Linked DNA regions of Drosophila melanogaster. The protein of the gene in region 3 interacts with the protein of the main gene of each other region in a biochemical or structural test. Each region holds a gene or a part of one and is shown on either strand. Other genes may lie near its edges. The genes, in order: PGRP-SD, PGRP-SA and GNBP1.

The links.
Region 1: the proteins of GNBP1 (region 3) and PGRP-SD form a complex in vitro, tested with the Drosophila melanogaster proteins (one study listed by BioGRID).
Region 2: the proteins of GNBP1 (region 3) and PGRP-SA form a complex in vitro, tested with the Drosophila melanogaster proteins (2 studies listed by BioGRID).

Annotation. Positions count from the first base shown.
Region 1 is NT_037436.4:7,649,277-7,652,447, reverse strand, and holds PGRP-SD (peptidoglycan recognition protein SD), read right to left. Parts: upstream 1,269-3,171; 5' UTR 1,244-1,268; coding exon 683-1,243; 3' UTR 548-682; downstream 1-547. Other genes in the region: CG7492 (uncharacterized protein), read left to right, coding at 1-138. UniProt on the Drosophila melanogaster protein: Peptidoglycan-recognition protein that plays a key role in innate immunity by binding to peptidoglycans (PGN) of Gram-positive bacteria and activating the Toll pathway. Has no activity against on Gram-negative bacteria and fungi.
Region 2 is NC_004354.4:11,559,853-11,563,301, forward strand, and holds PGRP-SA (peptidoglycan recognition protein SA), read left to right. Parts: upstream 1-1,790; 5' UTR 1,791-2,120; coding exon 2,121-2,428; intron 2,429-2,486; coding exon 2,487-2,605; intron 2,606-2,666; coding exon 2,667-2,851; 3' UTR 2,852-2,927; downstream 2,928-3,449. UniProt on the Drosophila melanogaster protein: Peptidoglycan-recognition protein that plays a key role in innate immunity by binding to peptidoglycans (PGN) of Gram-positive bacteria and activating the Toll pathway upstream of spz activating enzyme SPE.
Region 3 is NT_037436.4:18,673,904-18,678,439, forward strand, and holds GNBP1 (Gram-negative bacteria binding protein 1), read left to right. Parts: upstream 1-1,896; 5' UTR 1,897-2,102; coding exon 2,103-2,220; intron 2,221-2,392; coding exon 2,393-3,177; intron 3,178-3,241; coding exon 3,242-3,619; intron 3,620-3,675; coding exon 3,676-3,873; 3' UTR 3,874-3,973; downstream 3,974-4,536. Other genes in the region: GNBP2 (Gram-negative bacteria binding protein 2), read right to left, coding at 1-72, 145-201, 266-579, 642-1,074, 1,316-1,439. UniProt on the Drosophila melanogaster protein: Plays a key role in innate immunity by acting as a pattern recognition receptor for beta-1,3-glucan from fungi and lipopolysaccharide from Gram-negative bacteria.

The DNA.
Region 1 (3,171 bases), about 11 Mb from region 3:
CAGCTGGACTTTGCCCAACAGAGCGGAAACGGAAGCGGTATTGGCATAGGAATTGGCAATGGTAATATGAGCGGAAATGGCAGCATTGTCGGCAGTACAGACAGTGCGAGCGGCAGTTCAAATGGGAGTTTATATTAGTGCAATTTACCTAAGTACTTTACGAATTTTGTATAGTTCCTTGTTTTATATTTTCTAAATCTGTAATCTGTAACAGCATCTGTTGCCACGTTGCCGACTTTTGTTTACCTCTCTCGTTTGGCGCATTATCTACTGCATACCATTACGACTACGACTATGTTCACGTTCGTTCCATCTGCGTTCCGTGCTTCATCTAGGGTTCTGTATAGTTAGCTTAGTTTCTTGCGGAAGTTCCGGTTCGGTGAATGATGCTATGTGATGTCTCAAATCTCTATTGTGGCCCAGTGCACTGCTCCTGGGGAGCGGCCTGCTTATTAAACGGGTCTGGCAACAAACAAAAAAGTAAAAAAAAAAAAAAGCGGCAGCTGACAAAAATGTGCGAAGTCGAAGAAGTACATCGGAAACAGATCAACAAAATTAAAATTTTAGTATTCGTATTTAAGCAAAAAAAAAAAAAACAAATTATACATAATTATATTTACAAATAAATGTGTAAGGAGTGGTCTTTACGTGTCGAAACCTTATGCAATGCACACTCTATATTTCACATTTCTTCGGACCAGTTGGGCCACTGCTGTATCAGAGCGTAGAGTGCTTCTCCAGGACTCTTGGTAGCACTGACTTGACGATGGCCCAGTAACTTATAGCCCTCCACCAGCTGAGCCTGTTTGACAGCCTGCTCCAGCAGCTCCTTGGCGGCATCCAAGGCCTCCTTGTTGGGCGCCCGTTCTTCGAAGTTACCAATAAACGCAATGCCCAGGGAACCATCGTTATTGGGACCGGCAAAGGCTCCTCTCTGGCTTGGACTTCTGCCTTCGTATACCTTGCCATTACCGCCGATCAGATAGTGGTAGCCAATGTCCGAGAACTTTTGCTTGGACATCTGGAAGTTTTGCAGATTTTGCATGTGCTGGGAGCATGTAACATCATCCGCACAAGCTCCTCCAGCTGTATGGGCGATCACAGCACGTGGCAAGGGAGTTTCCATGCTGTCTATGGCTCCGTTCGGCGGTTTGGCATTCCACTCGGCCCTCGTCACGATCGGTACTTCCCCCTGGACAGCGATTGCTGTGAGGCCAACGATGAGCAAACCGATCCAAGTCATTCCACTTGCGTGTCTGTCAACTGACTGGGTTGGGATCTTATGGGCTGCGGCACCTATTGCCGCTGATAAGGGGAGTGCCCCCAAGGAGATAGTCATCCGACCCCATATAAATGAATGTATCATACATATATGAGGGGGATTTTTCTTGCCAGTGATAGATAATTGACAGGGGGTAACGATTATAAGAACAACTAGCATAGCAATATATCGTTCTCTCAGAATTTTTCTAAATGGGTAAAATTTGCCAAGCGAAATTCCCCTAAAAACTACAAGGCCACCACAAGGGGGACATATATGTAATAAAAAGTGTAAAATGTACATAGAACTTAAATCACTTACCACGTTCTTGTGAATTATTAAATAAAAATTTGCTGCTTTAGATTATTTCATAGTTCTTACTTATTTTACACTAACACTCGCGAATCAGCAGATTGAGCATTTTTACAGCATGTTGATTTGATGTTTTTCTTTGGCGGGATGTAATATTAATTTTACCGGAACACTCGTATTTATTTAGTTATAATCCCAATCTGACACAAACTATAATTAAACCGCACTATTTTTACGCGTTTCAATAACTGATTTCTTTTAATGCGATCGAATTAAGCGTTGAATTGCGTGTAATATCGACAATAGAAAAGAAGCCGAAAAAGTGAGCATTCGCGCAAGTGCCGCTATTTCTAGCTTGTAAGCCTGCCTTCGAGCAAGAACTAACTGTAATCAATTGCCTCTCTGTAAACAAACGTAAGTGTTTGATGCGATCGAATTACTCGCCGAATTGTGAGTCATAACCAAAGAAAGAGCGTGCTTTCGCGCAAGTGCCGTTATTTCGTCTTGCTTTCTTTAATCGAATATATTTCGGTCTCTTCTTTTGCAGCAGTTCTGTTTTTTTAGTGTGCGCGGAAGTACGTTCTGTTTGTATACTATTACCTCCTTTACTTATTAAACTAACTTTAAACAGTTATTTTAATAGTTAGATTCTACACAACGGCAACGTAGAATGATTTTTTACATACATAGGTCAGCTTAAAACAATTGTGAAATACTACTTAATAGCGAATGAATGAATAAAGCAAAGCTTTGGTTTCGGTTATTATTATTTTTTTTTTTTTGTTTTTTCTTTATGTGTTTTGTGTGTGTTTGATATATACATGTACATACATATGTATGTACATGCATACATAAGTATGTATGTATAAAAATAGTGAAATGCTTATACAGGAAGCCTGTATTCTTAAAAGATAAATATGATTAATATGTATAAATACAGAGAAAGTAAGGTAAGTAAGTTTTAATTTTTTACCTAATTAAAATAATTGGTTTGAAAATAATTGTACGCATAATTTAGTGTGTTGTGTACACTAATGTACATGTACAACTTTATATTGCAATTTCAATCTGAACATCCACTATCTAATGGTACACTTTATACCGCGTATTTCCCTTAAATGTATTGAGGCCCCCCGATTTATCCCTATTTTATGCCAGTTAATACGAGCCCACAGAAACCTCAACTTGACACAGATGTTCTAGGCAGTGATTTAATTAAAAAACTTTTGCAATTAAATGCAAAAACTGCAAAAAACAAAGCGGAGTGCAGGCCATTAAGCCCCCAAAAAAGGGCGTGATGAGGAAGTGAAGTCGCAAAGTGACAACGAAAATGCAAGTAAGCGCCCTCAATTAAAAGCCAAAATGAATATAAAATGCGATGGAAAAGGGATGAGAGTTGAGGGGAGAGTGGTGGGGAGAGCTAAGCCGCAACATCCAGAAAACCCGAAAAAGCCGGGCTAAAACCAAAAACCGAAGCCAAAACTATGCGCGGCTGGAAAAACCAGCTGGTGGCGGGAAAAACTCGCCGTTAACTTGAATTTAAGTGAGTTCTGAGTTGGGAGCACCCCTCCGCAAATCGGCTCCCTCAAAAAATCCGT
Region 2 (3,449 bases), on a different chromosome or scaffold from region 3:
TATGATAAAAACACCCTTTGCATAAATCGTATTTTTGGCCAAAAGACGGTTTTCAGATTTAAAGGAAGAAAATATTTAGTTTTTTGGCCACAACATTGGAAATAATGACTGGTCTATGCCACCCGGATGCGTTTTCATCCAGGGTATCAGCAAGGCAATTCAGCCAACAACGCCAACAAGTTGACTTGACTGCTGGCTAGCGCGGTATAAATGACGCCTGACGTCATGATGTCATCGAGTGAGCGGCAGAGCAGCCAAGCAGCGGAGCGGCCAACCTTAATATTTGTAATCTTCAAGTGCAACTAGGCCCCCGGCCACGCCCCCTTGACACTGTTCATTGGCCGCCCACGGATTGGCAATTAAAAAGAAAGGAATTAAACTTGCTAGTGGAAGCTCCTCGGACTTTTTCTCTGACTCAGCGCCACCTGAAAGTGGAGAGTGAGAAAAGTGGGTGAGGGCGATAGAGAGTGCACTGAAAAGAAATACTAGTGTGTGTTCATATTAGAATTAGAATTATTATATAAATATGTAAGATATGCATAATCTATCTAGTACCACAAAGTATATATGCACACTGAATTTATATGATTAATAATATCTGATTGATCTGCTCGTACATTATTTATGGATAACCCCATTTATAAACAACATATCTATTACCAATGATATCCAATACCATGTCTATAACCATTTGTTTATATCATCAATTACAAAGCCATAAAAACTTTGATAAACATAATATCACTTTCGGTGAAGTAACGCGAAATTAGATAGTCTTTCTTGCAGTGCAGCAGTAAAACACTGAGCGGTAAGTCTGATGAGTAACGCTAGTGCGGCGGAGATGACGCCGGATTGCCCCGCCCTGTAGTGGGTGGCAGTTATCGGGCAAACGGCTTTTATCAATAGCACCAATAATAACAGAAACCAAAATAGAATGAATGAATGAATAAAAAAATGCATCCAGTGGTTAGCGTAATGCATTTGCAATGCGGATCGCCTTCGGTGGAAAACCTTAAGGCAGAGACATGCAAATGCAAATGCCATGAGTAATTCACAATTTATAGACACCACACACATCGCAATCAAGTTCATAGCATGGGGGTCAATTATTATCTACTTTTTAAAAGAATCTTTAACTTTTCCCGCGAGTTATTCATCCTAATGAAACTGCCTTTTTTTAGCTGGCATTTAACACTTTTACCCTTGGAAATTGAAGTTAGTAAAGAAAAGCGGACGGTATTAAACATTTACACGCATTTCATTGACCTACAAAATGTATTGTTTGTTCATTTTTTGTTTTTTGGCAAAAACTATTGAAACTGCCTTTTTTTAGCTGGCATTTAACACTTTTACCCTTGGAAATTGAAGTTAGTAAAGAAAAGCGGACGGTATTAAACATTTACACGCATTTCATTGACCTACAAAATGTATTGTTTGTTCATTTTTTGTTTTTTGGCAAAAACTATTGCCATTACGTTCTATTTAAGGGAAGTATACGTTTTTCCTCGCCCTCTTTTTTAATTCATTAACCATAAATTGATTTAATGAACGACATGTCGGCATGCGAGCCTTCTATATCTTTTCATTTATAAGCTCGAACGATAATATACACAATATATTCGTGAGTAATATTGCTACACTTATACTTTTTTTTTACATATTTACTACTCAATTTGCAAACAAAAAAATAAAAATCTAACGCTCTCTGCGGCTGTTATCAGTGAACTTCTCGCGAGACTTTCAGCTAATCATTAATTTAGTTTAACTGTTAGTATTCGTGTGTACATATCACAAATCTTACTGCTTCTAGGGAAGCATTCGTCACTAGCTGAAAAGCGGAAATTCCATCACAGAGATCGGCTTTCAACCCGTTTTAAATTGTTGTTTGGGCTTTTTGCTTGTCGCTTCGCAAATGTGATGCAAAACAAAAAGAACCGAACAAAGAACGCGGAGATTTGCGACGGATCGGAAGATCTGGAGATGGCTAATGGACGGGAGTCCCCTGTGGCTCTGCGGGATCGTAAGCTCCAGAAAGCTCGGATCGTTGGCCCTGATAAATCCGGCAGATAGCCCATCGAGAGCAGTTCTCATCCAGCCTTAGATCTTAGCACATCAACATCATGCAGCCGGTTCGATTCGGATCTCCTTGGATTATGGCCATTGGGCTGGTGCTACTACTGCTGGCATTCGTCTCCGCCGGAAAGTCGCGTCAGCGTTCGCCAGCCAATTGCCCCACCATCAAGCTGAAGCGTCAGTGGGGCGGCAAGCCTTCGTTGGGACTCCACTACCAAGTGCGTCCCATCCGCTATGTGGTCATCCATCACACGGTCACCGGCGAGTGCAGCGGACTGCTCAAGTGCGCCGAGATTCTCCAGAACATGCAGGCGTATCATCAGAACGAGCTGGACTTCAACGATATTAGTTACAAGTACGGATGGCACCTTCGCAATTATCAAGATAACTATTATGATAATGATCTCTTTCAGCTTCCTGATCGGCAACGATGGTATCGTATACGAAGGCACTGGTTGGGGATTGCGCGGTGCCCACACCTATGGATACAATGCCATTGGCACGGGCATAGCCTTTATCGGCAACTTTGTGGGTAAGTTGCAAATCGATATTCTCCGCTATGTGGAGCACTACATGCCCAACATCTCCGATAGATAAACTTCCATCGGATGCGGCTCTCCAGGCGGCCAAAGATCTGCTGGCCTGCGGAGTGCAGCAGGGTGAGCTGAGCGAGGATTACGCCCTGATCGCCGGCTCCCAGGTGATCAGCACCCAGAGTCCCGGACTGACTCTATACAACGAGATCCAAGAGTGGCCGCACTGGCTCTCAAATCCCTAAATCAACTACAAGTAATTGCAGTAGTCTGCCAGAATGAGCATATCAGTTTAGTAAAGTAAATAAACCAATGTTGTTGAGTATTTTTTTGTGGTTTTTATTTTATAATTTTCTATTTTGTTTTCTGTCATAATTTACAAAAATGTGTCGGACGTAAAAATATATATGAATATATAGTGTAGTGTATGGGTGGGTGCCTGCATTCTTATGCTTTATAAGTAACATTTGTGTGCAGGCGAAAACAACTGATCGGGTTAATTAGGGATTTAAAGGGTATATGGAAAACGCTACAAATAGTGTCTGACGTTGGCTTGTTTTGTTGTTGTTTTTAATAACTAGGGTCTTTATACTAACATTAGGCAAAATAAGAATAGGGATATTCAAAAAAATGTGAAAGTACTTTGCAGAAGAGTGACAAGAGTCTTCCAGTTAGTAAACAATTTCATACAGTGGGTTGTGCAAAGAAATAGATTCGCATTATCGAATACAGTTCGAGAATTGCAACTTGAAACAATTTGTGCAAATATAAATGGCTTCGAATTCGCTTTTCTGGTTAACGCAAACAATTCAAAATGTTTACTTTACCACAAAACCAAATACG
Region 3 (4,536 bases):
ATAAGTGGTTTCCGGAGATATCATCTCCTTGTTTCGTCCTCAAATTGGCATTGCCACGGGCATATGCAATTCCTGAAAGTAAGATTTAAAGTTAGGATACAACAAAATGGAAACCCTAGAGCTTTTGAAGTTTTTGAAACCTACTCAATTGCTTGGCATAGTGGGTCTCCGCGTAAGTGGAAACCGGTTGGAGCATCAGATCTTAAATAAATTAAAAATTAAACCGTTTTCGTAACAAGAAAAGGTAAGTTAGTATGCTACTCACAGGGGAAAAGCCAATCCCCCTTGGGCAACTTGGCGCGCACGACGATTTTGCCAAATTTGAAACTGAAAGAGTTTCTGGTGTGAATTTGGGCGGAGAAAACTGGAGGCTTGATGCTATAGAAGATGCCGTGCGCAATGTTGCACTCCTGTTCCGGACTTTCGACGGCCGTACAGCGATCTCCCAGTTTGAAGCTGCCATCGGTGACCTCGGTGGCGATAGTGGGAACGATATGGAGTTCGCCTTCCTTCACAAAGCAGTTGCGTGCGGCATCGTCGAAGGCCACCAGCTCCTCCTCCACGTGGTACATGCGCTGTCTTAAAAGTCGTAAAACATAAGTATCTTAGACACATCCAATGAGTCCACTTATTTCACTAACCGGATGTCATGCTTCCAGGTGGTCTTGTTCAGCTGCGCCTCCGAGAAGTTGTCCTCAAAGATCAGTTCACCCTGGCAAGTATGGCGTCCATTGCTCACTATCGTTTGGGCGGCCTTGCAGCGTTTGGCTTGCTGTGCAGGAGCTAGGTATGCCTGGCACTCGCCCTCTCCTGTAAGGAATGTTATGCCTCGCGAGCTAGAGTCTTTGGTGGTCAGTAGCCGGGTGTTTATGATCACCCTGGTTTCACTCTTTTCGAAGATTTCCTCATTGAACTGCACCAGCATTGATATCTGCAGCTTGTCGTTGTTCTGCAGACTCATCTTTTGCTTGGAGACCCAACTTCCGTTCACTGCCTCCGTGATGTAGTCCATTAGAGCCGGGCAGGTGTCGTCAATTTGGAACATGTAGAACACCCGCTGTATGCCAGGCTCATCTGGATCGATATGAAAAAAGCAACAACGTGTCGTTACTAAAAGTAATTATTCAAATAAGACTTAGTCTAGGCTGATTTTGCTAATCCACCAATTTATTTGTTTTATATACGTAGTTTTTACTATTGAACCTATAGTGGATTTTCAAATACACTTCAAAGCTTTTTCCATATGAATAAATTAGCCAAACCATTGACATTTATGATGTTATTTATTTAACCATAGAAGTGTTGTAGAAGTCACCTGGTATGGACACTTCGAATCCTTCATCCTTTAGCATTTCAAAATTAATACTGGGTACTTTAAAACCAAAGATTTTATTGTTTGAAATGAGCAATAATAAACATGGCAGAAATTCCCACCTCATGACGCAGTTTTAATTACTCTTAATATGTGTACTAACTAGAATCCGATTAGCGTATTAATCTGAGAAGCTCTGCGGTGGGACTGTTGCATCAGATTGAAAATATTGATCTCAAAAGCTTGTCCCGATTCAAGTTTTTCTCGATTAAAGCTGCACTCGAATTAAATATTAACTTTGTTCAATTATTATTCAATTATAAATATAATGAACTTTTATTTTAACAGTAAGCGGAATAAGGAGAATAAAAGCCCATTAATACATTATTTAATTCCTAGTTCTTTGAAAAATAATATTTTGATTTTTTTTTTTAAATTGTAAGCATTCATTTTTAGTCGTGTAAAACGAGCTTTTGTTATCTCATCAGCTGTTTAAGCTTCCACTCGAAGGTGGATCACTGAGGAGGGGCAACGTTAGAACTAATTTTTCGGGGTCTACGGAATGATTAAAAAATGTCCAAATCCCAGAGAGGCCAGATCGCAGCCGGAGCTGATATCAACGTGGATTTGCATTCGCCGAATCGCGATTGTCCGGACCAACTTAAAGTAAACAAATAATAGTAATCGCTCCTCACCAGCGACAGAAACCGGTCTGCCAGTGAGATAGACACACAGATTGAGTCAGAGGCTCGGGATTCTTGTCGAAAAGTGCTGAACTCGAGGATTCAAAATGCCAGGATTGTGCATTGGAATCCTTCTGCTCATTGGTTTTGGATGCACCACTGCCTACAAGATCCCCACACCGACTGTGGAGCTCCTTGAGACTGGATTTAGCGTTTCCATACCGGGTAAGTAAGGAATGAGCCAGCCTCGTAGTACATAGCTTCTTAATCTTTTTCTTAACCTTACGATCTCTGGGGAGCAATAAAAAACCGAACAATGTTGACAGTTTATAGTTATAATCAGCTACAAATTAGCAAATGAACTTGCTAATTTATCCGATTTTGTTTTTCTTTTTAGATGAAGAGGGCGTAAAAGTGGTGGCCTTTAATGTAAATCGCAATCGGAATTTCACATCCTTCATAAACGAGGGACAGTACAATGTGAGATTGACTGAACCCCAGAACGGCAGGTGGACGACCAACTTCAGTTCGGTTCCCTTGAGATCCCAAGATGTTCTATACCTTTGGACAAGTGTGCAGCACCAAAAGGCTGTGTATCAAGATCTGGCGCAGCCCCTGCCAGTCTGCAATCTCGGCGGAGAGTATCGGCCCAGGGGATGTTCGCCCGGTGATGATGACTTTACGGATGACAACCAGCTAAGTACTGAGGACAGTGCTTTGGAACCCACCGCTCCCTCCGTCTGTGAACCTTCTGAAAGCCAGGTTTCGCCGCAAATCGGTGTTTCCATATGTAAGGGACAACTTTTGTTTGAGGAGACTTTTGATCAGCTGAATGAATCTCTGTGGATACATGATGTTCGCCTGCCCCTCGACTCCAAGGATGCAGAGTTCGTCTTGTACGACGGGAAGGCCAAAGTTCACGATGGCAACCTGGTGATTGAGCCGCTTCTTTGGTCCAGCTATCGCCCGGATCTCTCCATAGCCAACTCCAGGCTCGATCTATCGGAGCGTTGTACTGGAACCCATAACAGAATTAAGGAATGCATCCTGCATTCCACGGGCAGTGGACCCAGTGGGATAATGCCCCCAATTGTAACACCTCGAATCAGCACCAAGGAAACCTTTGCCTTTCAATACGGACGCATTGAGATCCGTGCCAAGCTACCAAAGGGAGATTGGATAGTAAGTGAGATTATGCAACTACAACGTCTTAGCTTTGAAATTAATATTTCCCACTCTTCATAAGGTACCACTCCTACTACTCGAACCCCTCACCGAATGGTACGGGCAATCGGGCTACGAATCCGGCCAGCTGCGAGTGGCCTTGGCCAGGGGTAACTCCGTGCTGAGGATGCCGCGCGGAAAGCTTGTAGATGGTAGATCCCTATACGGAGGACCCGTACTCTCCACGGATGCCCACCAAAGGGAGGACTTATGGCTGAGCAAGCGAAAGATATCCCATTTCGGCGATGACTTTCACACCTACAGCTTGGATTGGAGCAGCAATAGGCTGCTCTTCTCCGTAGATGGTCAGGTCTATGGAGAGATGCTGAATGGTTTCACTGAACTGGACGAGAATCCCAGGTGGAAGCAGGGCGGTCCCATGGCCCCGTTCGATAAAATGGTAAGCCTAGTGATCTAAATTTAACAAGTTTAATTCAAATTTATCTCCCATTTCAGTTTTACATTTCGTTGGGCGTCTCTGTGGGCGGATTTGGTGACTTTGTGGACCATCTTCGCACCGCCACTTATGAGAAGCCTTGGGCCAACTATCATCCCCAGGCGAAGCTGCAGTTCCACCAGGCCCAAGACCAGTGGCTACCCACATGGAAACAGCCGGCCTTGAAGATCGATTATGTTCGTGTCTTCGCCAACTGATAACTAAAATCCATGATTTAGGTAGATGTTTATAAAATTACACATAAGTGAACGTGCCGATCGAAATCTATAAATCTATAAATAAATAAAGTCCTAAGAGAAACTCAGTGAAATCAAATGCTTCAGTATGGTTGCTTATCTGACAGAATGGAGATGAGTCTGGGCATTAATACTAAGCCAGTTGGTCGGCTTTGATTCCTTTCAGGCTCTTCAGCTTTTGGTGAATGTCACTGAAAACGATACATGGATCTGGGCATCGCTTCCAGGTAAGATGGCCACACATTTTGCTGCCTACAATCTATTAATAAGTAAAATAGAAGATCATCGTATTAGGTCGGTGCTCTTTTACACTGAGTTCGAAGGGGACAAGTGTCCCTTCTATGACTATAGGCTATACGGGAATACCTGGGCAGTGGTACCCTCAAAATATCCGCCGTCGTAGAGACCCATCAAAACGAAACTGTGATCAAAAGCTTCAGGATCAGATCCTTGGGAGAAAGCAGTGCTTTGGTAGAGCCTCTGCGGAAATTCCTACCATCATCCGAGAAAAGTAGAGATTGTAAGAAGCTACGTAGCTCTACGAAATACTGCCTGCCCGCGATTTCCCTCACTAGAGACAAACCCATCAGCTGCAAGCTGCAGCGGTAGGCTATTGTCACCGAG